5 linked regions of the Cricetulus griseus genome follow. The protein of the gene in region 2 purifies or fractionates together with the protein of the main gene of each other region. This does not show direct contact. Links are inferred from orthologs where the notes say so. Each region holds a gene or a part of one and is shown on either strand. Other genes may lie near its edges.

Region 1 (6,070 bases), on a different chromosome or scaffold from region 2:
GGGGAAGATTATGTAAATACAGTACATATCTCTGAAATTTTAAAAAGTTTTTAAGACATTCAAATAAAATAAAAATGAAAAACAACAAACCAAAGATATAAGTGTCTACAAAGAAGAATGAAACAATTGAAATTAGGAAAAACATACTAAATGATTGAAAAAAATAATGGGGTAAGAAAGCATAATTTAAGCCAAATGTGGTGATGCATTTGTAATCCTAGCAGGTGGGAGGTCTAGGCAGGTGGATCAACAGTTTGAGGTCAGCTGAGTGTTGGCAGCACACAATTTTAATCCCAGCAGAGACAGAGACAGGCGGATGTCTGTGAGTTATCCTAAAACTTGCCATGTAGACCAAGCTGGCCTTGAAGTTTTAGGATAGCCAGGTCTACACAGAGAAACCCTTGTCTTGAAAAACTAAAAAGAAAAGCATAGTAAAGCTGGTGTGGTAGGTTACTTCTATAATCCCCAGTACTCATGTGGTTGAGGCAGGAGGATTATATTCAGTTTTCAGGTGGTTATTGAGTGCTACCTAGCAACACCCTTCCTTTTTTTTTTTAAAGGAAGTAAACAAAGAAGAAAGGAAAACTTTAAGCATCAGTAGTGACATACTACTTGCCACCTATATATAGCAAGGATTTTTAATGTTATTCATTTTTGAGGAGTTGGGGAAATCTTTCTCATCTGTACTCTTGCATATTTTTAAATTTAATCAAGTACTTTGAACCATGAAATATTCTCTACAAAACTACACAAAGAGTAGAAGAAAATTCTATGCTTACTCTCTGTATAAAAATGCCCTAGATGGACTCTTAAAGTGGTTAGACACAGATAAATGTAGTATGAACCATGTGTGTCACACACTGTGTCCTTGAACATTTCCTCAGTGACACTAGCTGCAGTGAAAACACTGACTTACAATTCCAGCCTCCATAATATTCCCTGTCTGACCGTTGCTGGAGTGCTCTGGAAAGTGCTGTGGGGTCTCACTCAGAGGCCTTTCCAGCAGCTTATCTGTTTTTATCCCAGGATGGATAAATCTTACAAAAACTGATAGAAACGATAGCCATTCAGGTTAAAACAGCCTTTCCATAGCTAGACTTACTAATTTATTTCCTGGAAAGGATCTAAAGTTAAGATGTGTGTTATCACCTTTGTGTGTTGACAGCTTGTAGATTCAGGATTTTAGGATCAAGTGTAAAGCTACAAAAAATTCATTTTTGAGAACCTGAGAGTCCTAAACCTGAACTAGAGGAAGTCAAGTCAGTTGGTTTCTCTGAAAACGCAGTTTCTTCGCCTGTAGATGAAAATACTTGAGTGATGGTGTCAGGAGGACCATGTTAGGAATCAGTCTCCCACAGGGCAGCCTGCGGAAGTGTTTTGTGCAGCAGCTTCTGCCTTCTGGACTTGAAGCTGTGCATTGAGTGTTTACTGAGGACAGTGTCCCTGCAATAATCTCTCTCTCCCTCTCTGTCTCTCTCTCTGTTACAGCAGAGTGGAAAGCTGTTAAAACACACGAAGCCATCTGCATTAGCGTAAGATGGAAGTGTTCCCGGAACTGCATACTCCGTCACTAAGCTTGGAGTGTGATCACTGTGGTTTTAGAGGCACTGATTATGAGAATGTGCAGATCCACATGGGCTCCATCCATCCTGAGTTTTGTGATGATATGGACACTGGAGGACTAGGCAAGTTGATATTTTACCAGAAGAGTGCAAAGCTCTTCCACTGCCATAAGTGCTTCTTTACCAGCAAGATGTACTCTAATGTGTACTATCACATCACAGCCAAACATTCGGCCTCAGAGAAGTGGAGTGACAAGCCAAAGGACCAGTTGAGCAAAGAGACCCAGTCTGTAAAAAGCCCTTCCCTTCCTGAACACCAGAGCACAGCCTTTGACCCAGCAGAAGTGAGGCCTACTCCAGCCCTCCCTGTAGAAACACAGAAAACTGGTCCCAGTTTGTCTCCAGAGCCACAGAAGTCTGTTCCTCCTGCCCTGGAGCCTCAGGATTCTGGCCCTGTCTCTCCTGAGCCACAGGCACCTTGTCTTCCTGCTGAGGCCTCAAAAACTGCTTCTGTTTCTTCTCCTGAATGCCTGGACACAGCCAGTGTGGTTTCTGAGCTGCAGAAGGCTGGTCCTGCTTCCCCTGAGTCTGTCAAGTCTGCTCTTGTTAGCTCCAAACCCCAGAAGCACTCTCCCTTTGCAGATACAGGGGCCCCCCCTTCTGCCTTGTCTCCAGAGTCACCAGTTCTGGCCACATCTCCTGAGCCTTGGGGGCCATCCCTAACTGCATCTCCTGAGTCTCGGAAGCCATCCCCATCAGAGTCTCCTGAGCCAAGGAAGCCATTCCCTGCCATCACTTCAGAGCCACGGAGACCAGCCCCAGCAGTATCACCAGGTTCCTGGAAGCCAGGACCACCTGGTTCTCCTCGGCCTTGGAAATCCAGTCCTTCAGCGACATCGGGACCTTGGAAATCATCTAAACCTGCTCCATCTATTTCTCCTGGACCTTGGAAGCCAATACCATCTGTATCGCCTGGGCCTTGGAAGGCAGCTCCACCTGTTTCCTCTGCATCCTGGAAGTCTTCAGTTTCATCTGGTTCCTGGAAAACGCCCCCCACATCCCCAGAGTCATGGAAGTCTGGTCCCCCTGAGCTCCGAAAGACGCCTCTTGCTTTGCCACCTGAACACTGGAAGGCAGTGCCCCCTGTGCCTCCTGAGCTTCGAAGACCAGGTCCGCCTCTCTCCCCCGAGATCCGAAGTCCAGCAGGATCTCCAGAGCTCAGGAAGCCTTCAGGGTCCCCAGACCTTCGGAAGCTTTCTCCTGACCAGCGGAAAAGCTCTCCTGCTTCACTTGATTTCTCTGAGTCCCAGAAAAGTTCTCGTGGTTCTCCTGAGTCCTCCTTCATTACAGAGTCTCAGAAGCCTAGTGTCTTCCCCGAGGCACGGAAACATGCTTCTCCTGGCTCATCTGAGCCCCCAAAGGTGACCTCAGACATATGGAAGCCTGTCCTCTCTATTGATGCTGAGCCTAGGAAGTCCACACTGTTTCCTGAGCCCCCCAAAACAGTCCTTCCCGCTTCTCCTGAGCCACGGAAACGTGCACTTTTCCCAGAGTCCCGGAAGCATGTACTTTTCCCTGAGCTCCCCAAATCTGCTGTGTTCTCTGATACTCAGAAGGCCACTGAGCTTAGTGAGGAGCTACAGCTGGAAGCTGTAGATGATGCAAAATGTGATAGTGTGGTCCAGGAAGGGCTTCTGGCTACACCCAAGAAACTGTTAGAAGATGCTTTATTTCCTTCTTCCAAGAAGCTCAAGAAAGACAGCCAAGAGAACTCGGATGCTGAGCTCAGTAGCAGTGAGTACATCAGAACAGATTTAGACACCATAGATATCAAGGGCCAGGAGTCAAGCAGCGACCAAGAACAGGTGGATGTAGAATCTATTGATTTTGGCAAAGAAAACAAAATGGAGATGAGTAGTCCTGAGCAGTCCAAAAATGTGCTTCAGTTCACTGAAGAGAAGGAGGCATTCATTTCTGAGGAAGAGATTGCAAAATATATGAAGCGTGGAAAAGGGAAGTATTATTGCAAAATTTGTTGCTGTCGTGCCATGAAAAAAGGTGCTGTTTTGCATCACTTAGTTAATAAGCACAATGTTCATAGCCCATACAAATGCACAATTTGTGGGAAAGCATTTCTTTTGGAGTCTCTTCTTAAAAATCACGTAGCAGCCCATGGGCAAAGTTTACTTAAATGCCCACGCTGTAATTTTGAATCAAATTTCCCAAGAGGCTTTAAGAAACATTTAACTCATTGTCAAAGCCGGCATAATGAAGAGGCAAATAAGAAGCTGATGGAAGCTCTTGAATCACCATTGGAGGAGCCACAGATGTGACTTTCAAACAATACCTGCTCTGCAATGTTTTTTGCCAAACTCAAGCTTGTTGAATAGCCTAGTAGATGCTGTGTAGTGTATCCTGTTCGTCTTAATAGTGTTATAAAGAATAAGCACTTGGTTACTTTTTTTATGTGACCTCCTGTTTATGTGGCTGGCTGTTTTATAAGTCAATACATTTCTGTTATGTATTCCAGATGGATATAACTCATTATCCTTAAACTCATTTTAGTCATAATACAAGGAGTGGGAGGAGATAGGCAGTTCATTTAGTAAACAAGTTTAAACCTAATTAAAACCTTTCTCCTCTCTCTTCCTTCCTCCCTCCCTCTTTCTCCTTCTCTCCCCCCTCTCTCTCTCTGTGTGTGTGATTGATTTCAGATCATAAAAACTATTAGGTAGAGGGCTCAGTGGTAGAGCACTTGCCTAGCATGTTTTGAATATTAACTGTTCCACAGTTCAATCCCTAGTACCTTAAAAAAAAACAAAACAAAACAAAAAAAAAGATGGTTTGAGAATTGAGCATGAAAAGTAAATTTGAGAAAAATTTTGTTAACCTTATAAGTACTTTTGAATCATGTTTCATATCCTCTTTCTTCATGTAAAATCAGTATAAGAATCTTTAATACTTTCCTGGGTGTTGTGGAGCTGGAGTCTTAGGGGTCACTGGTTTTCTGCTGATAGGACAATTGAGTATACCTAAGTGGTTTTGCAAAGACTGAGAAGACCATGTGATTAAGGCTACGCTTAGCTGTAGTTATTTTCAGTTGTGTCTTGGCCCTCACTCGCTTCTCTGCCAGTTCACATTAGCAGATGATCCATAATTGCCAAACCCCCTACTCCTGAGCCTTCCATGCTCCCTGCTGGGGCTAAGACCTGGGTAATAATGAGAAGGAGCTGAAAGTCATCCCGACTCACAGTTCAAAATGAATGAATAGATAGGAAGTACACACTAGCCTCAGTTACATGAGAGGCCAAGGATCACTTGAGCCCAGCCTGGGCAGCATAGCGAAACCTGTAGAAACATTCTGATTTTCTTTCTCACAGTTTTGTCATTGTAAATACCTTGTTTCTCTTCATGGATGATGATTTTAATGTACTTTGTTAAATGTTTATCAACCAAATTAAAAAGGCTTTGGCTTTCATGTTAATATCTTCGTGTACTTTCTTTTAATAATTGTGTTATAGTCATGACTTCTGTCATTGTGTCAGATACTTGAGGAAGATAGTTTGGGAAATGTCCCGCGTGCTCTGTATTTCTCGCCAGCAAGAAATCATACACGGGACACTCGGATCCTTCTGCAGACAAGCTTTAATGCATCTTGAGAGTGAAAGAGCAAAAGCTTCCCAGAGCGAGACACTAAACCAAGAAAACCATCCCTTATAAAGGCTGGCCAGCCGCCTGGGACGTGTTACCCTATGAATGGCTTCAGCTCCTCAGGCCAAAATGAGCCACGGGATAGGCAGAGATCAAAGGAATGGAGATTACCCAGCGCCTGTGAAGTAATTTACATCTTGGTGTCTTCAGGCACCTATTATTGTAATGGATAATGCAGGAACCGGCTTCCTACAGGGAAAGGCTTATTTTGGCTCATGGGTTGGGAGGTTTCAATAGGTTGTAAGCCTGTGATGTGGAGGAAGGGTATGGCAGAAAAACACTGCTCACCTCATGGCATCCAGGAGTAAAAGAGGAGTGAGGAAGGGCCAGGGTCAAGGCCAAACCTTCCTCCAACTGTGCCACCACCTCCCAGTAGTAGACTCAGTTTTTAGTCTGCTAGTAGTTGAAACCATTGGCCAGAGCAGAGCCCTCATGACCCACTCCTGAAAATGTCCACTCAAGTACATCGGGTGTGCTTCACTAATGCCGTGACATCTCCATCTACTCAAGTCAACCAGATTAGCCACAGAAATTTCCATCTTACAATACTAGTTTTCCTGTGTTGAGCAGCACAGTCTAAGCCATGTTTTCACCAAGTTCTGTAAGTCAGGAGCCACTATGAACATTCTGTTGGAAATCTCTCATGCACATTAGTGTACTAAAGGCTGTTTGATTTCAGTAGTTGCCAGTCTTACCTGCCTCATCTTACCTGTTGTGTGGGATGGCGGTGGTTGTCTACTGCTCGAATCAACACAGTAAGACTTAGGTGGATGGGTTCTAAGCCTTTAACTCCACTT
Region 2 (6,070 bases):
ATATTCACTTAACTCATCTCTAAATCTTAAGTACCATATTATCTTAGCAATAACTGTTAACTCTATTCCTTTTCTTCACTTCATAAACAACACCCATTGTCACCTCCTACCTACATGATTAATAAAAAGCCTTTGGCTAGTCTTTTGTCTGCTCCTAGTTTCCATTCAGTTCACTAAGTGCAGCCAGGGAAAAATCTTGAATAAAACAAGTAGGAACCTATCACTCAGGGCTTGAACTCCTGTCCCCACCTAGCTTCTGACACCTGCCTTGTATCCCACTATCTACACAGAACACCTCTCCCTTCCTTACACTGCCCCAGGTGTACCTTGTGCTTCAGGTACACTACTTCTCTGTTCTATTTATTCTTCATCATTATTCATCTTTTGCACCTCAAACACCACTTCCTCCTGGATATCCCCTCAGCTCCCAGGATAGGGAGCTGCTCCTCGCTCTCTTGCCCTGTTAACACATCTCTAACCTCTAACCCAGTATGTAGCAAGTAATAGGAACTGAATGATGTTTATTCACAGTAGTATCTTCTCTACCAACATTGTTTATCTATCTCAACCCTGACCCTAGAATCCAGAAATTCAAATGAGAATACAGGATTGTCTTGGTGCCTGATACCTGGTGCCTCATGTAGTGCTGCTGGAATGCATTGCCATTTTTGAAGACTTTCAGGCAATACGGGCAGAGCAAATGCCGGGTATCTTCATGGATCATCCGAAAATGGACATCTACCTCAGAGTAGAGGGAGGAGCGATACTGACACACCTGAGTCACGTAAGAAGGAAAATAAGAGTAAGAGTGAATAACTGGAGCCATAAAAAGAGGTAACAACAAGGGCTGGGAGGTGGGTATTCTTGAATGCATAGATATTATTGTTCTGGTACTGTAGTGGAGATCTATGTGGGTGATAAGTTTAGCTGTGATAAAAATAGTAAAGGACAGCAGAGTCTGAGAATGACCCATATTTTCTAAGGAATAAAAGCATCCTCTATCCTGAGAGGGGAAGTTTGGGAGACAGACTCTCTTAGTATGCACAGGAGGCCCCTGTCTGGGTGTTACCCTATAGAAAGTCCTAACTACAGGAACTGTGTTAGTCTCCTTCTGTATGTCTTCACAATACCTAAACGGAATGTGTACAGTGGGTATTTAAGAATATTCATTACAGGATTTCTTTATAATCAGTTTTAAAACAAAATGCCTAAAATGCTCTGGAGAAAAAGGCAATACCTGACAAACATAAGGCATCTCTCCAGGCTTATGAGTGTCCTTCATATGCTGGAGAAACAGTGGCTCGCTTTCAAATGCCCACTCACAGATCTTGCACTTGGCTGTAAGAAGAAAAATAATCTAGACATGCACCTGGATGTAAGATCATAGCCCTTAAGATTCTTTCTGACTCTGCATCTCCACTTGCAATCACCAACACTTCTGTAAAATGGTTCTGCTCTAACATTTGTATTGCCAATGACAACTGATGTCCCTATGTCTCTAACTCAGTCTTTTTAAACAAAGTTCTATTCTAGACTGTGAACTGTTTACATTTTAATTTGGGCATTCTCTCTACTTCTAACTTGACATCACATTCTCTGTTTACCATTTCCTATCTCTTACTTCTCTTTTTAACTCAATACCCACTGTTGTCATCACTCAATGACAGGTAAGAACTTGGTAGAAACCCTTATGATTTACTACTATTCATCAGCTTCCATATATCTGCAGTGTGCATTCTTCACTACTGAATGAGTTCTTTTAAAATACAACATGATTTTATGCCTGTGACTAAGGACAAAGATTCTAATTTATATAAGTAATTCATGAATATCTACTGACTGTCCATGAAGTACCAGAAAGAATTTGTTCTGAAAAGGCTGACAAACACTAAGAGATGTTTGCTTTCTGATTTTATGACAGGGTCTCATTACACAACTCTGTATGGCCTGGAATTCATAGACCATTCTGCCTCTGCCTCCCAAGTCAGGGAATAATGGTATGTGTCACCACACTTGGCTGGACAGATGCTCTTACTTTGTCATAAATGGCATTTCTCTTTCTATATTAACAGATTCAAGATAATTATACTCTGAAATCAGCCAATTTGTCAAGCTTGATTATAAGGATATAATTATAAATTTTTCATAAAAATTTTAATTGCTTCATATTTTGAATTATAAAGTATGGCTAGAAAAGGGGACATGTTTGTGTTTTTCTTTGTTCACTGGCCTTTCAAGTTTCTAGAAATATGGAGATTGAAGACTTAAAGTTGTAAGTACTTATCAGACAATGGCCCACCCCTTGAGTCTTTCTAAGTTCTTCCTACATTAAAAACTCTGAAAGTTTAACCACTACTTTTTGTGAAACCTGAACACAAGATCTTTCCCTTCCTGGAATTATCTTACCATCCCTGCTATCACCTAAGGCAGGTTTGATTCTTTAGAGACAGGGTCTTATGTAGCCTAGGATTGCCTTGAACTCAGTGGTGTTTCCTACCTTGGCTTTCTAAGTGCTGGTATTACAGGCATGAGCCTGTAAAACTAACATATAATATTGTTTTATTCTCACTATAATTATGTAAGCTCCTATCCATAACATAATTATACTTAGCATAACTTTTAATAAAACTGGCAATCCTTTAAAGGACACCAGAAATTATCTGAACAGGGAGAGGAGATGGTTCAGTGGTGAAAGTGTATACTGCTTTAGCAGAGAACTGGAGCTTAGTTCCCAGCATACTGGGCAGCTCACAATCATCTCTAACTCTAGCTCCAAGGAAATCTGATGCCTTTGGCCTCTGTAGGTCCGTGCCTAGGAGCATGTGCACACAAACACACACACACACACACACACACACACACACACACACACACACACACACACACACTAAAAATTAAAATCCTGAAGCTGGGTGGTGGTGGTGGTGGCATATGCCTTTAATTGTAGCACTCAGGAAGAGGAGGCAGGTGGATCTCTGAGTTCAAAGCCAGCTGGTCTACAGAGTGAATTCCAGGACAGCCAGCGCTACACAAAGAAACCCTGTCTAGAAAAAACAAAATTAATTGATCCAAAATGCTGGGCTCCCATCTCAAAATGCCAACTCAATAGAAATAATATATGTGTTTGGTTTTTTTGGTTTTTTTTTTTTTTGGAAACAGGGTTTCTCTGCATAGCCCTGCTGCCCTGAAACTCACTCTGTAAACCAAGCTGGTCTCCAACTCACGGAGATCTGCTTGACTCTGCCTCCCAAGTGCTGGGATTAAAAGTGTGCACCACCACCTCTGGCTAGAAATGTGTGTTTTAAGCAAATGACTTCATTACTCTAAGTTAGTGCTCTCATTTTATAGTACTTTAAAATCAGGCTTGAAAGAAATAGGGAAAAGCAAGTCCCTAAAACTATTATCTGCATGTAAAGAGCTCTTTGCTAGTGTCATTCAGTAAGTGACAAAAAGGTAGCTCCCACCCCTCCACTGGAGTTTGCATTTTCAAACTTACTAGTAGACTCATAGGGACTGTGAACATTTTCCAAGTGGCACTGGAGCTGGAATGGGGTGGAGAACTGGCGGTAACAGTGTTGACAGATAGTGTGACCATCCACCTCGCCATTCTGCTGATCAAGTTCCACATGGTGCTTCATATGGTTCATGAATCTGTAACACAGCACAAAGAGAAAGTACAGAAAACACAATCAGTAGTCTTTGAGAGATATGATAGAATTATAAGCAAATATTATTTGCTCTCTCCTCCAACTGCCTCTATTTGGGATAGTCTTTTTCTGAGCTGGCGAAATTTTTCAAATTCTGTACATGCGTGTGTGTCTGTGTATGTGGGCATGTACTCACAGATTCTGTACATGCGTGTGTGTCTGTGTATGTGGGCATGTACTCACAGATTCTGTACATGCGTGTGTGTCTATGTATGTGGGCATGTACTCACAGGTACAGTGATTAAAGAGACCAGAGGCACTGGGTCCCCTGGGGCTGGAGTCACAATCAGCAGCACCCGATGTGGTGCGAGGGAACTGGATTCAGATCCTCTGCAAGAGCAGAGCACACTTTGAACTTCCTTTGAGCCCTCTTCTCCAGCGCCAGATACCATGTTTTTTGTTTTTTTCTTTTTGGTTTTTCAAGACAGGGTTTCTCTGTATTGCTTTGGAGGCTGTCCTCGAACTCGCTCTAGAGACCAGGCTCGCCTTGAACTCACAGAGATCTGCCTGCCTCTGCCTCCCAAGTGCTGGGATTAAAGGTGTGTACCACTAATGCCTGGCCTTTTTTTTTTTTTTTTTTAAATAATTTATTTTTTATTTTATGTGCATTGGTGTTTTACCTGTATGTATGTCTGTGAGAGGGAGTCAGATCTTGGAGTTACAGATAGTTGTGATACCATGTGGGTGCTGGGAATTGAACCCCAGTCCTCTGGAAGAGCAGCAGTGCTCTCAACTGCTGAACCATCTCTCCAGTCCCCAAATAATAGGTTGTTAAAACTAAAATTAGGTTCTGTGCAAAGAGACTGGTATCCTTTATTAATAAAATAACAGTATTGTACACTATAACTTCTAACAAGACTGCATCATAATTAATGTTTCCAAAAAGAAAAACTTAACAAGGTAAGAAAATTTGTCTACTTTCATGCTTACCTAATGTTGTTCTTTAGCCTTTTGGTACAATGAGGGCATCGGAAAGATGTGGCAACCTTAGGAAAGCTCGTGAGCTGGGCTACCTTGCCCCCATCCCGTCCATAGTAAAAGTCATCAACTAGCATAATAAGCTTGGTCTGGACGCCATCTCCAGCGTTCTCATTTGGCTCTGGTACTTTGGTAGGTGGTGAGAGAGCAGGAATAGGTGTAGAGGAGGGTGTGGAAGTGATGGGAGCTGTCTTCTCAGGGGATGAGGGCTTTGCTGCCAATGGAGTACTGGCCTCTGCTTCGAGGGACTTGCCTTTCTTCTGGTACTCAACCATTTCAGGGCAGCAGTACTGTAAAAGAGATGACGTCATGATTCTGATTACCCGAGACTAGGATGAGCTAAATCCATATCACTAATAGTCCCTGGGAGTGATCTGTTAATGTAGGCAATAAAGGATATGTTTGTGGACACTGGGATCTCTGCTCAGGATAGTCCAGGAGTAGCTGGACTATAGGCATTCATTAGCACACCTGAGCTGGGTAAGGTGGTTATCTTCCAGCTTTCATCTTGCTTTTTTTAGTAATCCCAGAGTTCACATTTTTCTTTTATATGTCCACAGAGCCTCTAACACTACACCTTTTAGAGCTCTCCCACCTGCCTGTCTAGAGACTTATAATAGCATCATTTGACTTGGAACATTCTAGAGAAAGAAGTTCCAACCTTTTCATTTGGACTGATACCAGAAAGTTACAAGACTATAAATAAAGCAGGGACCAGGTAACAGGTTTTAATTCTTCTAGTGACACAATTAAAACTGAGCTGAGGTTATGACAATTGTCTGTGGTCTTATGCAACAAACTTGCTGTCCCGCGAGATCAAATCTACCATGCTAAGACAGTAAGTGTCCCATCACCTATCAGCAGTTTTTAAATGCTGATATCATATTTTCAGTTCACATAGCCCTTTTCTACAATATACCAAAGGAGAGAACAGCATTTACAAGTTTCCAAGCCAGTTTAAGCATCTGATTTTCATGCTCTCACTATCAGAGAGGGAAGAGGAGGCCACTTAAGCTGGCTCCTGATACAGGTGGTGTCACTTACACACATGTGACCTCTCAAGGCTTCAGTGACACGGAACTGAGCGTTACACCGTGGACATATTTTCCGTCCACCATCCTGGAGGTCAAACGCTGGGATGGAAGAGGTCACTGGAAGAATGGAGAAGAATTAATAAGATTAATACAGCATACTGGGGCAAGATTCCTGAGAAAACAGCCAAGAGTAAAAAGCAAGCATGAGAGGCATACTTTTTCACTAGGGCTGGCTGGCAGACTGAGAACAAAGGGCATCTGACCAGCAGTCAGTTTCTGTTTTCACTCACGAGCTGGGAATGCCCTTTACCACCACCTCTAATTAGGTAAAGTTCTGTTTCTCTCTCCCAC
Region 3 (6,070 bases), on a different chromosome or scaffold from region 2:
CCCTTCAAAATACGGAGATACTACTGTAACTCACACTAGTGATATACAGAACAAGTGTATCCTAACTAGACTACTTAACACATACTACTATTTATTCAGTTTTTCTTTTCTCCTGTAAGTTAGAAGAGGGTCCGAATCAATAAAGACTGGAGGAACACACAGAAGAAAATAGGTGGTTAGTTCATTGTGACACAGGCATTCACCTGCATTGAACTTACTCCAGCCATTATCTAGGGAAGAACTACCATAGATACTAGTTTCAGAGAAATTTCTAGACCAATCAAAGGACAAAGACTTGACAATCCTATTTTAACTGGCAATGGCTTAACACTTACTCTTCCTAGTCCATCATGGTGGCATGTCCCTGTAATCTCAGCACAGAGTCTGGGGCAGGAGGATTTCAAGTTCAAGGCAAGCCTAGGCTAGAGTAAAACTGTCTCAAAACAATAAAAAAACAAAGATAATTACTTTTACTAACTTGAACTCTTCATTAAACTGTTTGAAAGTACTGCCATGTACTGCTTGATAATGTTCTGGCCAGAACATTATCTGGCCATTACCGAGTGATGCCGTGGTGCATGCCAGTCATAGAAACCTACTGTGCTGGCAGCACACAAAAATACAGCAAGTACAAGCATGTTCAGCAGGTGATGCTGCCTAGTGCTAACAAACACCACCCACTGTTTCTATTTAGAACAAGTCTACATTGTTACCACTAGTATTTTTAATAGAAAGAGGCAAGCTTACATTATGCTCAGTAACAGTAAACAGTAGAGGCCTTGCTGACCCCTGCTGGCTAATTTTGAAATTTAAAAATAAATTCTATAAATTCTTTCCTACCCTCAAACATGAACAGAATCCTGTTTTTGGGGCCGGCCTGATCTTTACTAAGAAGGTGGCAGAGAAGGAGGGAAATTCAATCCAATCACATCTCAGAATTTTTTTCTTTACTCAACAGAACTGAAATGTGATTCCTCTCCATAGTCTCTCCCACCTACCAAAAGAAAAAGAAAAAAAAAAAAAAAAAAAAATCAGAGATCTGAAAATCCTAAGGGCCCCTACCTGTAACTCATGAGTCCAGGTTTGTAGTCATGCCGAGGATCACTATCGAAGGACTATGTCATCTTAAAGATTCACACCTGGCGACTGGAATTTCGAAGGTGCAGCTCTTTTCCTCTGGCATAGAACAGATGGAGAAGGGAAGAAACAACCACACAGAGCCACTGGCAGACTCACCATTTCATCAGGAACATGAGTTCTCCACTGGAGTCAGTAGCTCCAATAATCCGTTCAGGCTCCAAACCCCTGGCAAAGCCTCGTGGCTTTTCTGACTGTAAAAACCAGAAGGACAGAACAATTTTATTGGCATAGGACTATATCCAGAATGAAGTTATTGCTGTGTTTCTAAGAAATGTAATCACAAACATTCACTAAAGGTTTCCTCTGCTTCCCACACCATGAGGTACCCCTGGCATGAATGGGACACACACCCCAAGCAAAAGAAATGTTCATGCTGTCTCTTCAAAGGTAAATTAATTAAGATACTAAGTAAGACAAAACAGCTACTTCAAATCTGTAATGATCAAAACACTGAAAGTGGGCTGGAGAGATGGCTCAGAGGTTAAGAGCACTGACTGCTCTTCCAGAGGTCCTGAGTTCAATTCTCAGCAACCACATGGTGGCTCACAACCATCTGTAATAAGATTTGGTGCCTCTTCTGGCCTGCAGGCACACATGCTGGCAGAACACTGTATACTTAATAAATCTAAAAAACAAACAAACAAACAAAAAACTAAAAGCAATCTATTGACAGCAATCTACTGACAGGAAACAAATTCAGTTGCTGTCATGTGTCTCCAGTAACTGTTACATCCTTTATGCCAGAAGAGGGCATCAGATCTCATTACAGAGCCACCATGTGGTTGCTGGGAATGGAACTCAGGACCTCTGGTAGAGCAGCTAGTCAGTGCTTTTTTTTTTTTGGATTTTCAAGACAGTGTTTCTCTGTGTAACAGTCCTGGCTGTCCTGGAACTCACAGAGATCCCCCTGCCTCTGCTTCCCAAGTGCTGGGACTAAAGGCATGTGCCACCAACACCCGGCTATCCCATCATTCTTGCACCATAGATAAAAAGATTAGATCACTTTACAGGAATAAGTCCCAAATCCTTTTTTTTTTTTTTTTTTTTTGGTTTTGTTATGTTTCAATGAGACAAGGTCTCCTGTAGTCAAGGTCTCTTATACCTGATCCTTCTGCTAGGATTACAGGTGTGCACATGGTTGACTTCCAAATCTTTTAAAAACATTAGTTTATTTCCGAAGGACAGAGGACATAACTGCTGAGATTCAGAGGAAGAAGTTCAAGTATCGTAGCTCATAATTGTAAGCCCAATACTTAAATCCTTGTCCTAAGTTTCTCACCTCTTCTTTCTTCTTCTTTGGTTTGCTTTCCTCTCCCTTATCATCAGAATCAGAATCGGCTTTGCGCTTGCCTCCCTCTGATTTATCTGTCTCATGGGCTGTTTTCTGTGATTGTAGAAACTCAGCAATAAGGTCAGGGCAATCCAGGTTCTCTTCTGGCTCCCATGTATTGTCCTCACTGAAACCAGCAATCACAGCAAGTTACACTTCCACTCAAGTCAACATTTGTAACTAAGAGAGGAGGTAGTCTTGGAAGAGAGTTAAATGATAAGGAACAGCTAGATTTTTGTTCAAAATTAAGAAGTTTCCTAGCAGGGGATGGTAAAGACCAAAGGCTTAGAAACTTGTCTTCTTCAAGGAAAAACTACTTTGCAGAGGTGGACTATCTTATACAAATTGCTCCTCAGAAATCACTGTTGTGGACTGGTGAGATAGCTCAATGGGAAAAAGGAGACATCTGGCAAGCCTGAAGACCTGACTTTCATCCCAGGACTTAAGGCCACACATGCCACATACACAAAACAAAATGCTGCCATATATCGCAGTATTCTGCATGTAGGTCCTTCCTCAGTAGACTATCAGCTGTGGAGGTCAGGACTGACCCCAGGTATACCCATCACAGAACAGGTATCAAGCATAAGGACTGAATTTACCTGTGCCAATGAAACTTACTCTGAGAAACCCTTCCACTTTAGAAGATATTCCACTTTGCCCTTGACAACTCGTCGATCAAGAACTTTTTCCACCACATATTCCTCTTCCTCTTCTTCTAGAACCTCCTCCACTTTCTTCTTGTTCTGTTTTTTCCCCATAGTACCCGCCAGCTTTCCGGTGTAAAGAGTGACGCTGCTAAAATGACAAAAGAAAATAAAAAGGGCATCAAGGCACATTTACTGGTCAGATAAATATCTGGATGGTAAGGGAAATCACAGATGATGTACACTGCTTATGTATAATGCTCTACTTATCTCCAGTTCACAACCACGTTTCCACGTTAGCTAGCAAGTTAGCTATATTTTTTTTTTTTTGGGGGGGGGGGTTGAGACAGGGTTTCCCTGTGGCTATGGAGGTTGTCCTGGAACTAGCTCTTGTAGACCAGGCTGGTCTTGAACTCACAGAGATCCGCCTCCTCTGTCTCCTGAGTGCTGGGATTAAAGGCCCATGCTGCTGCCTCCACTCGGCACGATTATTTTTTTAAAAGCACAATTATTATTTTAATTCATTTTTAAAAATGTGCATTGGTGTTTTGCCATGGGTGTCAAGTCCCCAGAAACTGGAGTTACAGACAGTTGTGAGCTACCATGTGGATGCTGGGTCCTCTGGAAGGGCAGTCAATGCTCTTAACTGCAGATCCATCTTTCTAACCCCTAGCCATGATTATTAATCTCACAGCAAATTTCTTTCCCTTTGGACAAGGACTTATTAAGAAGCCCAAGGTGTCCTCAGCTTTCTTTCCTTTTTTTTTTTTAAAGATTTATTTATTTATTTATTTATTTATTTACTTATTTGTTGTGCATGCAGTGTTCTGTCTGCATGTATGTCTGCAGGCCCGAAAAGGGCACCAGATCTCTACAGATGGTTGTGACCTATGTGGTTGCTGGGAATTGAACTCAGGACCTCTGGAAGAGCAGCCAGTGCTCTTAACCTCTGAGCCATCTCTCCAGTCCTGTCCTCAGCTTTCTATGTGATGGAATTATAGGTGATACTACAATGTGTGGGTCGAACTCACAGAGATCTTCCTGCCTCTGTCTCCCGAGTGCTGGGAGTAAAGGCATGTGCCACCACCACCGCCCAGCCTTCACAGTCTCATATAGCTCAGGATGGCTTTGAATCCCTGATCTGGTCTCTATCTTTTAAGTAATGGGATCATAGATGTATGCTACCATGTCCAGCTAAAAAGTCCCTTTATTTTTCACTTTGCTTTTCTTGAATGACATCATAAATTCACAGCTCAAACTTTAAAAATTCTTTTACTGCATTTACTCATGTAGTCTAAGTTTGGGTGTCACGGAGGTCACGGGACAATTTGTGGGAGTCAGCTCCATGTGGGTCTCGGGCTTGGCTAAGCTACCTCACATGATGTAGCAGAGGATGAACTTGATCTTCTGACCCTCTTGTCTCTTCCCCCCAGTAGTGCTAAAAGACTGAACACAGGGCTTTGTATAATATACAAGGCAAGAGACTACTCTACCAACTGTGCTACAACTCCAGCCAACTCCCATTTTTCCCTTTGGTAGTACTAGGAATTAAACCTTGGGTTTCAAGAATGCTAGGTACTATGCTACAGCCCTTGCCCATAAATCACTATTATTTGACTTAGTTTACTTTATTTCTAAGCCTCAAGACTGCTTAGAAGAAGCACCAGATTAACTATTTAAGCTGGAGTACTGTAATAACTTAGAAAATGAGCAGGGGGAAAAGAGGAAGGTAGCCATCAGAGATGTAGTAAAGTTTGTCTTCTTTTGGGCAGGACAACTTTGTGCAGCTAGTTCTCTCCTTCCACCTTCCTATGGGTTCCACATAAACTCAAGGCCACCTGACTTTAGTACTCAAGGCCAAGTGCAGGTCCTGAGTTTATTCTTTTCTAAAACATGCTTCTGAATGGAGAGATGGCTCAGCAGTTGGGAGCACTGGCTGCTCTTCTAGAGGACCTGGGTTCAATTCTCAGCACCCACATGGCAGCTCTCAACCATAACTCCAGTTCCTTAGGATCGGACACTCTCACACAGACATACATGCAGGCAAAACACCAATGCACACGAAATAATTAAAAGCAATAACCACACAAGTCTAAAAAATGCTCCAACACACATCCACACATAGAATTATATATGGGTGAAACTTGTTCTTTCATGTTGGAAGTTGGTTTTGTTTGATGAAAACCCCAAATACGGCTGGGGATACAGGTCAGTTGGTGGAGAGCTTGTCTCACACAAATGAAGCCTTGCATTTGACCCCTAAAAACCGGGCATGGTGGCGCACGAATGCTTGTGATCCTAGCAGGAGAATCAAGGGGTTCAAGGTTTATCTTTGTCTACACAATACCCTAAATCAGAAAGTCCCTGAAATATTCTAGCATATAAACTTTAGTTCCCTGTAAACCTCTTACCTTTTAATCCATTCAGTTCTGATGTTCTAGCCCCCGCCCCCTTCTCTGTGTAGCCTTGGCTGTCCTGGAACTCACTCTGTAGACGAGGCTAGCCTCAAACTCACAGATATCTGCCTCTCCAGTGTTGGGATTAAAGGTGTGTACCACCACACCTCTGACAGGCCAGAGCTATATCCAGGTTCCCTAAACACTCTTGGGTAGCATACTATAAAGTGTTCAGAATACCTTGAATGGAGAAAGTGCCCAAAGCCTTAAAATTACCAACTTGTGTCGGCAGATGGCGCTGTAAATATACCAGTAAAACAAAATTGGCTAGAATCTTAGAAACGAACAATCAATTATCCAGAATGAGATACAAAGAATGGAGCATATGTGCCAGGTGTGGTGGCACAGGCCTGTAATTCCACATTTTGGGAGGTGGTGGCAGGGGAATTAGGAGTTTAAGGTCAACATGGACTAGATTGAGAGATCGTGTCTGGATTCCCTCACCTCCCCAAGGAAGGAGTATTGTTCTGGATTAATTTAATAGTCCAATCTGGATT
Region 4 (6,648 bases), on a different chromosome or scaffold from region 2:
GGTACACACCTGCAGTCTTCAGGGAGTGGAGGTACAAGGGTCTAAGCACATTCCAGAGCATCTTGGTCTGCACAGCAAGCTCCAGGCCACTCCTAGCTACTTAGCAAGACCTTGTGATGCCTCTCCCACCCCAAACAAAAAAGCCTAAGGCTTGCTCTAAAATTGTAAAGAAGGCAATTAAAATGCCAGCTGGGTGTTATAGCCCTTTTAGAGGCTGCAGTAGGAGATTCTTGAGTGTGGGCTATACATTAAGTTCCTGTCTAATAAAATAAAATAGAAGAAGCTGGGTGGCGGTGGTGCACACCTTTAATTGTAGCGTTTGGGAGGCAGAGGCAGGCGGATCTCTTTCATTCGAGGTCAGCCTGAAATACAGAGGGAGTTCCAGGACAGCCTAGGCTACACAGAGAAACATTGTCTCAAACAAAACGGTGGAGGGGGGGGGCGCTGGTTGTTGATGGTTTATGCCTTTAATCCCAACACTCAGGAGGCAGAGGCAGGTGGATCTCTGTGAGTTTGAAGCCAGCCTGGCCTACAAGGTGAGTTCCAGGACAATCTCCAAAGCAATACAGAGAAACCCTGTCTCGAAAAAGCCAAGCAACCAACCAAAAAAATAAATAAGACCAAAACAAAACAAAACAAAAAGATAATGCACCTTTAATCCTAGTACCTGGGAGACAAGCACAGGTAGATTTCTGTAGCCAGCCCTGTCTATATAGCAAACTTCAGGCCAGGGCTATATAGTGAAACTCTACCTAAAACACACACACACTCTCTCTCTCTCTCTCTCTCTCTCTCTCTCTCTCTCTCTCTCTTACACACACACACACACACACACACACAGAGAGAGAGAGAGAGAGAGAGAGAGGTGGCATACTGTTTTATTTTGTTATTAATGGAGTCATGTTATTAATGGATCACGAAGTCTCAGGAACTCTTCACCCACCATCAGAAGTAGGTACTGTGTCAGTCTCCCTAATCCACTCAGGCTGCAGGTGCTGTATCATTAAGGAAGGCCCCTCAGGTTGGCATCAGTGCCAAGACAAAGTAAGCACAGAGCAGCAGGTGGGGGGGGGGAAGCATTCTCAGATAAAGCCAACAGCAAGATCAAAGCCTGAGACAGCAAAGAGAGGACTGTGTTTGAGTGCTGGGGATCTGAACCTGATAAAAAAACGGGGGTGGGGTCCAGAAAAAGCATCAGGGTCAGAAGTATTGGAAAGGCCAGGTATGGTGACGTGGCCCTGTCACTGGGGCATTTGGGAAGCTGAGGCAGAAGAACTTGCAGGAAGTGCGTGAAAACTAGCATGGAGCTAGAGTGAGTTCCAGGCCGTCGTGGGCTGCACATGGAGGCTGTCTCAGGAACAAAGCACAACTTTCGTTCTCCACCTGTAATGGGACTCCAATGGAGTGTTTTAGGTTGCTAGTGATAAAATCAGTTTTTTTTTGGTTGTTGTTTTTCAAGACAGGGTTTCTCTGTGTAGCTTTGGAGCCTATCCTGGCACTCACTCCGGAGACCAGGCTGGCCTCGAACTCACAGAGATCCGCCTGCCTCTGCCTCCCGAGTGCTGGGATTAAAGGCGTGCAATGCCACCAATGCCCGGCATAAAATCAGTTCTTTCGAGCACAGTTTGGGACGGTTGTGATGGCTACATATAGTCAGCATAAAGTTATAGCTCTTTAAAATCAGCTACAGGAGTTGGGCTTGCTGCCACATGCCTGTAATTTCAGCTCTAGAGGCAGTGCTCAAGGTCATTCTCTTTAACCCCGGGGAGTTAGAGACTAGCCTGAGTCCCTGCATCAAAAACAAAATACAAAACAAAAAACAAACACTTAAGAGATTTTCTCCTCTCCAATTGTGTCCACGCAAAAGAAGCGGCCTTCACTTCCCTTGAGAATGCAGACACCCTTTTGCCTCTGGGCATTTGCATTAGAAATTTCCCTCTGCCGAGAGACTCCCAGTTGAGCTGGCTCCAGTTCAGGCTTGGCTTAAAAATCAGCCCTGGAAGTCCTTGCAGAACCCGAGCCTGGGGCAGGCCTCTCTGGCACCCGCAGCCTCCTGCTCGCCACCTCCTCCGGGTGTGCAGTTGTAGGCTTCAGTCTAAACAAGATGTGGTCCGTCTTCCTTACGCTGAGGGTACCGGATCTCCCGAAACGCAGCAGCCACGTGCTGGCCTGATTCTCCAGGAGGGCAATGAAAAGTCTTACTCTGGCCGGGCGTTGGTGGAGCACGCCTTTAATCCCAGCACTCGGGAGGCAGAGGCAGGCGGATCTCTGTGAGTTCGAGGCCAGCCTGGTCTCCAGAGCGAGTGCCAGGATAGGCTCCAAAGCTACACAGAGAAACCCTGTCTCGAAAAACCAAAAACAAAAAAAACAAAAAAACAAAAACCAAAGTCTTACTCTGGGGGCGAGAACCTGCTCCTAGACCTGGTGCATTTTCAGGGCAAGGCAGCCAGGCCACTTTGCTCAACGCTGCAGTCGCTGGACGCATGCGCCTTGCTCAGGTCGCCCCCCCACCACCCCGTCCCCATCCATCCTTGCATCCATGCATGCGTGCATGCATATGCTAATCACTGCGCTGGGAAGGACGGCCTCTCCCGGGAATATGCAAATCACATCCTCCGGTGCGGGAGGGAGGCCTTCCTTTGTCCCGCGCTAGCATTATGCAAATAAGCGAGCTTGCAACCCCGGGGTCGGGGGCCGAGTGCTCAGCCAGCCCCCTCCCTCCCTCCTCCCTCCCTCCCTCCCCTCCCCTCCCCTCCGAGCATCCCCTATTTATGCGCTGTGCTCGCTCCCTCGCGCTCGTCCCTTCGGTTCCCGAAGCCGCGGGCGGGCTCTACCGAGTCCAGCGGGGCCGTGAGCGGCGGGAGTTCGGGTCCCCGCGCCCGGTGCGAGCCGCTCTTCCCACCAAACGGCCCGCCTGGCCGCGCACGCGCCCTGGGCTCCTCCGCTCGCCCCTCTCTTGCTCGCCCAGGCTCCCTGAACGCAGGCGCAGTGCCCGGGCTTGCAGCAGCCGCCGCCGTCGCCGCCCCCGAGTGCGAGCCCGAGTGCGAGCCGGGGCCGGTGAGTGTCCGGGCTTGGGGTGCGCGGGGCATGCTGGGAAGCGGGCGATACGGCCCCGCTGCATGACGGGAGCCCGGCCGCCCCGCTCGCCCGCTCGCCCGCTCGCCCGCCGCTCGCCCGCGGCGGCGGCGGCGGCGGCGGCTCGGCCCCGGTGAGCAGCCCCGAGCGGGAGAGTCGTTGGCTTGCCTCGCCTCGCGGCCTTGCGGGAGGCAGCCTCGGGCCAGGCGCGTTACGGGAAGGGCCTGGGCTCCCCGGGGTGGGGGTGGGGGTCTTTTTCTTTTCTTTTCTTTTTTCTTTTTTTTTTTCTTTTTTTTTTTAGAATGTGGTCGTTCAAGGCCCGGGGCGTCGTGGGAAGTTGTCACGGGGCATTGTTTGGTGCCGGGGTTCGGGGTTTGCGGTTTGGGGTTTGTGCGAGCCTTGCTGCTCGCTCCCACCGTGTCGGGTCTGCGTTGTGTGCGGTCCGGGCCACGTTATTGCCTTGGTGGGAGGTGACGGGGGGTGGGGTGGGGGACACACAGGGGTTCCTGTAGCCCTGACTGGGGGTGGCTTTGAACCCCCACTGTTGTGGAGGGTGACCTAAGAATTTATAGTCTTCCCCAAGTGCTGAGTTTGCAGGGGTGCAGCACCACGCCCAGCTGAGTTTCACCTGTAGGGCTGAGGGTGGTGATGGGGACACACAGGGTTTCCTGTGGCCGTGACTGGGGGTGACTTTGATCCCCCACTGTTGTGGAGGGTGACCTAAGAATTTATGGTCTTCCCCAAGTGCTGAGTTTGCAGGGGTGCAGCACCACGCCCAGCTGAATTTCACCTGTAGGGCTGAGGGTGGTGATGGGGACACACAGGGTTTCCTGTAGCCCTGACTGGGGGTGGCCTTGAACCCCCACTGTTGTGGAGGGTGACCTAAGAATTTATAGTCTTCCCCAAGTGCTGAGTTTGCAGGGGTGCAGCACCACGCCCAGCTGAGTTTCACCTGTAGGGCTGAGGGTGGTGATGGGGACACACAGGGTTTCCTGTGGCCGTGACTGGGGGTGGCTTTGATCCCCCACTGTTGTGGAGGGTGACCTAAGAATTTATGGTCTTCCCCAAGTGCTGAGTTTGCAGGGGTGCAGCACCACGCCCAGCTGAGTTTCACCTGTAGGGCTGAGGGTGTTTCCTTTCTTTTTTTTTTTTTTTTTTTTTTTTTTGTACCCCCACTATCTGTCTCGGAAGTCATTCAGTCTGGTGGCATCCACGACTTCTGTACCGAGGATGGTTGCACCTGATAGATGTGGAACATTCTGGAAGGAGCTTGGTGTAATGTGGGTTTTTGCAAAGGGAGGGTTGTCCCCAGGTCACCCCGAGGGGAAACTCCGGACGATCCCTGGTGTGGTAGCCAAGTAGGCGAACAGTGAAAGCCCTTGGTGTGGTGACACATGCCTGTGTATAGTTCCAGCACCCCTTGGCCGGGGCAAGAGAATCAGGAACTATATATAGGTCAGTTCTGGCTGCATAGTGAGACCCGATCTCAAAACAGAGGGAGAATGGGTTTGGGTGGTGGTAGGTACAGCATGGAACAAGTATATTATTTACCCAAGATAGAAACCAGCTGTTTTTAGTTTAGTTTGTTTTTTTCAGGCATAATGTAGAACTAAGATTTTATTTATTTATTATGTACACACCATTCTGCTTCCATGTCTATCTGCACACCAGCAGAGGGCGCCAGATCTCATAACGGATGGTTGTGAGCCACCGTGTGGTTGCCTGGAATTGAACTCAGGACCTCTGGAAGAGCTGTCGGTGCTCTTAACCTCTGAGGCATCTCTCCAGCCCGGGATCCGTGTGTTTTTAAGTTCCCCCTCGATTGAAGCCATTCCACTCTTCCTACTCCAGCTGCGTTTCCCCTGACAGTGTACTTGACGGCTAGGCTTTGAAAGAAAAAAAAAAATAGTGTACTTTCTACTGTTGTGTCCCCAGTGCCTAACATACAGGCTTTGTCATATTTTTAGTGAGGCTGAGCCCCGTGGAGTGGTGCACGTCTGTAATCCCTGCACCTGAGAGGCTAAGGTTGGAGGATCGAAGGTTCAAGGCCAGCCTGGACTGGATAACACTAGTCTGTGGAGAGTGTAAGGATATTGGCCCTCTCACAGTGCACGGGGAGGAGGGAAGGTGTGCTTTGGGAGAGACAGGGATTATTAGGACTGAGGAGAGGTGTAGAATGTGTTTATAGGTGCGTTTTTTTATTTTTATTTTTTTGGTTTTTCGAGACAGGGTTTCTCTGTGCAGCTTTGGAGCCTGTCCTGGCATTCGCTCTGGAGACCAGGCTGGCCTCGAATTCACAGGGATCCTCCTGCCTCTGCCTCCCGAGTGCTGAGATTAAAGGCCCGGCTATAGGTGAGTTTTTGCAAGGTGAAAATTAGTTCTCGGGGCCCGCAAAGAGGAAGGAGAAAACTCCAGGTGGAAACTTCAGGATATACTAGGACCTCTTCCCCTCTAGCTATAAAGGGCCTGTGTGCACCCTCGAGAGGTCTGGAGTGGCTGGGGGGATGGGCAAGGGCCACCACACACCTGCAAGTTCTATGAATCTTAGGGTTTTTTTTCTTTTTTTTTTTTGAGATGGTCTCATGTAGCCCAGACTCTGTGGTCAACAATGACTTTAAACTTCCATCCTAAGGGCTGGATTACAGGTGTGGATGGCCACGACTCTGAGCCTATTGATGTTCAAAGCATGGCTTTGAATGCTTGTTCAACCACCAGTCTGGGGCGTTGGTGGCGCACGCCTTTAATCCCAGCACTCGGGAGGCAGAGGCAGGCGGATCCCTGTGAGTTCGAGACCAGCAGCCTGGTCTACAAGAGCGAGTTCCAGGACAGCTTCCAAAAGCCCCAGAGAAACCCAAAACAAAAAAAAAAAACCAAAACCAAAAAAAAAAAAAACCCATCAGTCTGGTGAGGTGACCTCGATCTTGGGCTTTGGAATACCTGAGGGGCCTTTCTGTTCCTTATTTCCTCTTCTGCTTCAAGGGAGCTGTTTCTGTGTGGTACTGAGTGCACCAATCAAGGCCTGGTGGCAGACTTTCCAGAGAAGGAAACAGACAAGAGAAGTTGGGTCCTGTCTGGAGCTATAGCCAGAAAGGCACATATTTGGGTTTAAACCTAGTCAAGGCTGACTTGCACAAATTAGTGTAGGATGAGGCCTGACACTCACTCGGGGCATGGCGGTGCACCTGTAATCCTGGGGTTTGGCAGGAAGATCTGGAAATCAAGGTCATTTGAGACTATTTAGTGACCTTGAGGCTAATCCAGGATGGGGGGGGGGAGTGAAGAGTGGCACTGGAGCTCAGTTGGTACTGTGCTTGCCTAGCACGCACGAAGCCCTAGGTTTGATCCCCAGCGTTTGGGAGGTAGATCGGGGAGCATCAGAAATTCAGGGTCAGCCTCGGATATTTGAGCTCTCATAAAAACAAAACACTTCCAGGACAGTTAGTATCTCCACTGTACCATGTTTTTCTGTATCCCTAATTTTTAATGAGGGCCTCCCTCAGTCCCTGACATCCCTTGCCTCTCAACAACTAAAGGGTTAATGCTTTATGATTGGTGCCCATGCCAGTACCTACC
Region 5 (6,070 bases), on a different chromosome or scaffold from region 2:
AAAATCCATACACAAAATAAAGTTATTTTTATTTTAAAAAATTAATGATAGAATTATAAAAATATTATTATAAAAGGTAAATGGTCTCAATCTATCTTTAACTATATTGTACCCATTTTTGGATTTTTTGTTTGTTTTTCTTTTTTAAGACAGGGCTTCTCTGTGTAGCCCTGCTGTCTGCCTCCTCTATGCTGGGATTAAAGGCACGGGACACCACTGCCTGGCTTTAACATTAATTTTTTATTTTCTAAGGAGCACACCAGCACATCAATCCATCAAAACTTTTTTTTTTTGGGGGGGGGCAGGTTCCCTGAACCCAGGCTGGCCTGGAGTTTACTATGTAGCCAAGAATGACCTTAAGCTCCTGATCCTTCTTGCCTCTACCTACTGACAGCTAGGCTTATCCAGTATATGCAGTGCTAGGGATCAAATCCAAGTTTAGTGTATGCTAGGCAAGACTCTACCAACTCAGTCAAATTCCTAGTTTCTACTGTTAAACTTGTACTTGCCTAACAAATTAAACTCTTACCACAAGTTATGTATGCTATAGGAAGAAACAGTTTATATATGGACGCTGCCATGGTACATAGCTAGGTTTTCTCTTGCAGATAATGCTCAGGGAAGAAAGGAAAATTTATTCTAGCCTTTTATGAAATCCCAGGCAATTGTTCCTAAAAAGATTGTATTTGCTAGGTGTGATGGCACATACCTATGATCCCAGCACTGAGGAGGCAGAGGCAGGCAGATATCTTAAGTTTGAGGGCATCCTGGTCTATAAGGAGAAACCCTGTCATGAAAATAAATAAATAAAAAAAAATATTTTAAATTCTTTTACAAAATGTAAAAATGTTTATGTGTGGTGGAGATGGCTAGAATAGGGCATCAGACTCCTGAAACCAGAGTCACAGGCCATTGTGAGCTGTGGTACAAAGGTATTGGGAACCTACCTAGAGTCTTCTAGAAGAACAAGAAGCGCTCATAACTGCTGAGCCCTATCTCCAATCCCAATCCCAGACATTCATTTATGACAATGCTTAATCTATCTACCCCAATTTTGTCTTTCACTTATGTTAAGTACCAAAAGTCCAGGCCGGGTGGTGGTGGCGCATGCCTTTAATCCCAGCACTAGGGAGGCAGAGGCAGCCGGATCTCTGTGAGTTCGAGGCCAGCCTGGTTTCCAGAGCGCGTGGCAGGATAGGCTCCAAAGCTACACAGAGAAACCCTGTCTCAAAAAACCAAAAAAGTACCAAAAGTTCAAACAGTTTTTTTTTGTTGTTGTTTGCTTTTCGACACAGGGTTTCACTGTAATTTTGGCTGTCCTGGACCTCACTCTGGCTTCAAACTCACAAGAGATTCGTCTGCCTCTGCCTCCTGAGTGCTGGGATTAAAGGCATGTGCCACCACTGCTGGGAAAGTTCAAACAGTTGTAACCACCTTTCAAACATACAAGTATTTCTAGTGGTAATTTGATGGAAAGTCTAGGAATGACCTGGAACTCTTCAAGTGCTATCTCTGGACACATAGTGAGTTCTAGGTCAACCTGGGCTATGAGACCTTGTATAAAAATAGCACTATGGGCTGGGTGTTGGTGGCACACCCCTTTAATTGCAGCACTTAGAAGACAGAGGCAGGAGATGGATCTCTGTGAGTTAGAGGCCAGCCTGGTCTACAGAGCAAATTGCAGGACAGGCTCCAAAGCAATACAGAGAAACCCTGTCTGGAAGCAAAAAAAAAAAACAAAAAACAAAAAACAAAGCAGCACTCTGGTATAACAGATGCTAAATAATCTGTTATGCATGAATCAACTTACCTAAAATGCCCAGTACTCCATAAGAATAATGTTAAATCATGAAAGGAAATAACTTTCAATAGATCCTGAAGGGACCTAACTTTAAAGTACTGGCAAAACATTGACTATTTTAGCAAATTTACTTCTACCTGTTGTTTTTTATTGCATTTTGTTTTTGTTTGCTTTTTGTGGTAATGAGGATTAAAACCCAGCCAGGTGGTAGCAAACACCTTCAATCCCCAGCACTAGGGAGGCAAAGGCAGGCAGATCTCTGAGTTCCAGGCCAGTCTGGTCTACAGAGCTAGTTCCAGGACAGCCAAGGACCGTGAAACTCTGACTCGAAAACAAAAACAAACAAACAAAATACCAAACCAAACCAAAAATCCAAGAGAACAAAACCCAATTCCTCATATACACTAGGCAAACACTCCACTACTGAGCTATATATCTTCTGCTAAAGATAAAGTTGTGATGTCAGGCTGTGAAAATGGCTCAGTAGGTAAATACACTTCCTATCCAAGCCTGAAGACCAGAGTTCAGTCCCTGGAACTAAAAAGCTGGATGTGCTGGTCTTCCTACTGCAAGATGCGGGGGCAAAGACAGAACTGGCTGAAAGCTAGCCTCAGATATCCTGCTCACAACCAAAACAAGAGACTTTGACTCACACAAGAAAGTGAAAGTGACCTGCCCCTTAGAAATTAAAAATTTAAACAAACAAAAAAGCACTTATATTGAAATGCTAGTTATAAACTGGGCATAGTAGTACAATGCTTTCAGCACTAACCTGGACCTCACAGAGATCCACTTGACTCAGAGAGCTGGGATTAAAGCCTTGGCTTCTTTTCATAAATCGTTTATTATATATGCACATGTGTATCTATTAAGTGTATATTCCTGTTTGTCTGCATGAGTGTGGGTGTGTATGACTGGAAGTCTGAGACCACCTCAGTTGTAGGTCCCCACCTTCTAAACTTATTCACTGCGAGGTATGCCAGGCTAGTTACCCCTCAGGCTTCCAGGGATTCTCTTGTTTCAGTCTCAATCTCAGTGTGGGACCACAGGGAGAGATGCATGTGCCTAACTCTGCATGGGTTCTAGTATCTAAATTCAAATGCTCACACTTGCCATAACAAGTGGTCTACTCACACTCATTGAGACCTCTAAGTACTATGTATGTCTTATCTCTGTCTTTGTCTGTTTCTTTTCTTTTCTTTTTCTGGCATACCTGAGAATCAAACCAGAACCCTGAGTATGCTAGGTGAAAGCACTTTACCATTAAACTACACCCACCTCTTGTCCCTATTTTATTAAAGGGGAAAAAATGAAAAGATTATAAAATTAAACAATGGACCGAAGAAATAGCTCAGTATTTAAGAGCACTGCCTGCTCTCCCAGAGAACCATGGTTTGGCTCCCAAAACTCACATGGCCACTCACAACCATATGCAACTCCTGTTCCAGCTGATCTGATGCGCTCTCTGCACTGTGGGCACCAGACAACACAAATGCAGTATACAGATATACATGCAGGTAAAAGACTCACACACACACACACACACAAAAAAAAAAAAAAAAAAATTTATGTGTGTTTTCGGAGACAGGGTTTCTCTGTGTAGCCCTGACAGTCCCGGAACACTATCTTTAGACCAGTCTGGCCTCAAACCCATGCCCCCCCCTTTCTGGGAATAAAGGTGTGTATCATCACCCAGCCCAGCAAGAAAATATTTTTTTTTCTTTTCTTTTTCTTTTTGGTTTCAAAACAGCATTTCACTGTATAACACCCCTAGCTGGCCTGGAATTAGCTCTGTAGACCAGGTTGGCCTCAAACTCACAGAGATCTGCCTGTCTCCCAAGTGCTGGGATTAAAGGTGTACGCCACCAACCAGCTAAGAATTTTTTAAATAACAAAAATAAAAGAAATTAGCCAAGTTCATCCACCTATATCTTAAAGGGTGGAACAAGAATCTGGTCCCAGACTATCTGGCTCCCAAATTTGTGTTCCCAACCAATTTCTTAAATTACCCCTCAAATATAAGATTATTAAAACATCAGCTCCACAATGGGAGACTATTGTGGTCTATTGACTCTCTTGATTTTTATGAAAGTGTATAAATGGGAAAAAGACAGTGGCTCTGGGTAAATTTTTCTACCTCTACAGAGTCCTAATGCCTGAAAAAGAAAGCACTTACTCAGAAAAGCCTTTCCACTTCAACAGATACTCCACTTGCCCCTTAACCATGCGTCTGTCTAACACCTTTTCCACCACATACTCCTCCTCATCCTCGGAAGAAGAACTGTCAGCTGTCCTCTTGGTTTTCTTTCCCATGTCGCACGCTGATCCACCTGAAGGACTAAGGCCACCAGGTTCCTGAAAAGGGATAAAGATAAAACGGTTACAATCCGTGAGGGTTATAACTGCCACTTCTTGATGGAACAGAGGGTACAATACTAGTCAGTCTCATACCCTTCTTTTTGGTCTACAATTATTCTAAGACAGGGCTACAGATTTAATTTTAAAATGGGTCAATCCACATTTCCCTAACAACAACTTCTCTTCAGTTGAAGAGATCAAATTAGATGACACATTCCTTTAATTTTAATATTCAAAAAACCAAGTAGCATGACATGCTACTCATGACCATTTCTGCATCTACTTGTGAGCCAGGAACTCAAAGGAAAATGTGGAAAACCTTCAATTAAAGGAACCAAAAAATAAAAATCCTTTTCCTCTGAGGCGAATACATGTTTTTATAAAAATGAAGAAAAAGAAAAAAAGAAACCTTCCCCCACAAAACACCCAAAAGTAACTTTTCCATACTCTGAGCATTTTGGTCAGTCTCTTCTCAGCGTGTACGTGTACATACACACACACACACACACACACACACACACACACACACACACACACACACACGGCAGTTAACCATCTCTCACCACATTTCTAGTGACTTGGTACATTTCCCTTAAACAACTTGAGTCTGTCCCTTTAGCATGTCCATCAGCTCACAAAAACAAGGCTGACAGCTCAAAAACACTAAGCCTCCTTTTTAGCAAGCTCATTTGGGAATAGAAGGGAAAGGGGGCAGAGGGAAAAAAATTCAAAATTAGTCATTGGACTAGTCTGTAATTCCCAGGGCTCGACTAACCCAAACAGTTATGGAGGTACCTTGCCTCTTCACTGAAGTTGACTTTGGGCCAAAGGAAGAGGAGGGGAAAGAAGTCTGGCCCCAGATTCTGAATCAACATGAAGCCTCCTCAGAACACAGAGGACTATTCATCTCCCAGGAAAGCCAGGACAAGGCAGCACAAATGGAAATTAGGCTCAGAAATATGCAGTCAGAGGTGCTCAACAGAGAATCTAGTTTTAAAAATTCCCACACTGCTGAACCATAATCGTTTTAAAAGAATTCTTCCTTAATCATGTTAAATGGTACCCACAGTCTGGATTATCAAATAGCAGGAATCAATCTCAGCTGACTCCGCTGTTATTTCTCTATAATTTCTAAAGATGTTTTTCATAACATTTCCATCTTGGCCAGAAAGCCAACCTCAGGTATAGAAAGGGTAACTAATCTCAGAATTATGTTCAAGTCAAAGAAGCAGAAGTTTGTATTTATCAATTTATTTCAAATTAGTAATTTTAAAGAAACATTACAGGAATATAGTGTTGAAAAATCCTATCCACAGAACTTATTAGCAGTAGGTAGGCCAGTCACAAAAACTGCTTGTATTAATTTCTAACCTATAATAACTTTACTTGAGAGTGAAGGCATGGGGAAATATAGGTAAAAAGGTTTTCAAATAAATTTTCCATTAATTTAGAAGACTCCCAGGCATCAAAAAAATATAATAACGTTTATTTAAAATAAATAGCCTCCGACCTCAGTACAGACAGGAAATGTCATATTCCAGAAGAGAGTACCCCACCCCCACCCCCACTCACCTTGGAATTTCCGGGAGCTGAGCAGTTTAGGTCAGAGCGCTGGGTTTAAACCAGCCCCATGTTGGAAGCATGCAGTTAAGCATTGTGGCTATGGCCTTCCCTGCCTCACCAGGGGAAAAAAACAAGGATTTACATATGTGTTCTACAGTTTGAGGGAGGAAGAGAATTTTTTTCTTTATACCTTCATGCTAAAGAGAAGCCCTAAGTAGATCAATAGGGGTTCCCTCCCTTACCTACCGGATCGCCCCAGTTCGTTCTTTCCCTCTGGGCTAACAGGAGGGGCCTCCCCTCCCAGGTCTGGGGCTTGGCGGGCTGGCAGTTCCCCCGCCCCCACCCAGC

The links.
Region 1: the proteins of Pogz (region 2) and Champ1 purify together in Homo sapiens (affinity purification with mass spectrometry; 4 studies listed by BioGRID and IntAct, with this or other methods). This does not show direct contact. The link is inferred for Cricetulus griseus from reciprocal best matches to the Homo sapiens genes POGZ and CHAMP1.
Region 3: the proteins of Pogz (region 2) and Cbx1 purify together in Homo sapiens (affinity purification with mass spectrometry; 7 studies listed by BioGRID and IntAct, with this or other methods). This does not show direct contact. The link is inferred for Cricetulus griseus from reciprocal best matches to the Homo sapiens genes POGZ and CBX1.
Region 4: the proteins of Pogz (region 2) and Znf428 purify together in Homo sapiens (affinity purification with mass spectrometry; 3 studies listed by BioGRID and IntAct, counting the BioPlex papers as one, with this or other methods). This does not show direct contact. The link is inferred for Cricetulus griseus from reciprocal best matches to the Homo sapiens genes POGZ and ZNF428.
Region 5: the proteins of Pogz (region 2) and Cbx5 purify together in Homo sapiens (affinity purification with mass spectrometry; 5 studies listed by BioGRID and IntAct, with this or other methods). This does not show direct contact. The link is inferred for Cricetulus griseus from reciprocal best matches to the Homo sapiens genes POGZ and CBX5.

Annotation. Positions count from the first base shown.
Region 1 is NW_023276807.1:67,001,149-67,007,218, reverse strand, and holds the end of Champ1 (chromosome alignment-maintaining phosphoprotein 1), read left to right. Parts: intron 1-1,488; 5' UTR 1,489-1,537; coding exon 1,538-3,895; 3' UTR 3,896-5,046; downstream 5,047-6,070. UniProt on the Homo sapiens protein: Required for proper alignment of chromosomes at metaphase and their accurate segregation during mitosis. Involved in the maintenance of spindle microtubules attachment to the kinetochore during sister chromatid biorientation.
Region 2 is NW_023276806.1:61,639,089-61,645,158, forward strand, and holds part of Pogz (pogo transposable element with ZNF domain), read right to left. Parts: intron 5,837-6,070; coding exon 5,730-5,836; intron 4,976-5,729; coding exon 4,638-4,975; intron 3,652-4,637; coding exon 3,497-3,651; intron 1,339-3,496; coding exon 1,238-1,338; intron 776-1,237; coding exon 629-775; intron 1-628. UniProt on the Homo sapiens protein: Plays a role in mitotic cell cycle progression and is involved in kinetochore assembly and mitotic sister chromatid cohesion.
Region 3 is NC_048600.1:109,949,909-109,955,978, reverse strand, and holds part of Cbx1 (chromobox protein homolog 1), read right to left. Parts: intron 3,269-6,070; 5' UTR 3,232-3,268; coding exon 3,092-3,231; intron 2,598-3,091; coding exon 2,420-2,597; intron 1,332-2,419; coding exon 1,237-1,331; intron 1-1,236. UniProt on the Homo sapiens protein: Component of heterochromatin. Recognizes and binds histone H3 tails methylated at 'Lys-9', leading to epigenetic repression. Interaction with lamin B receptor (LBR) can contribute to the association of the heterochromatin with the inner nuclear membrane.
Region 4 is NC_048602.1:27,016,254-27,022,901, reverse strand, and holds the start of Znf428 (zinc finger protein 428), read left to right. Parts: upstream 1-2,817; 5' UTR 2,818-3,057; intron 3,058-3,144; exon of another isoform or gene 3,145-3,208; intron 3,209-3,576; exon of another isoform or gene 3,577-4,530; intron 4,531-5,042; exon of another isoform or gene 5,043-5,159; intron 5,160-5,365; exon of another isoform or gene 5,366-5,427; intron 5,428-6,648.
Region 5 is NC_048595.1:399,590,399-399,596,468, forward strand, and holds part of Cbx5 (chromobox protein homolog 5), read right to left. Parts: intron 4,157-6,070; 5' UTR 4,115-4,156; coding exon 3,978-4,114; intron 1-3,977. UniProt on the Homo sapiens protein: Component of heterochromatin that recognizes and binds histone H3 tails methylated at 'Lys-9' (H3K9me), leading to epigenetic repression. In contrast, it is excluded from chromatin when 'Tyr-41' of histone H3 is phosphorylated (H3Y41ph).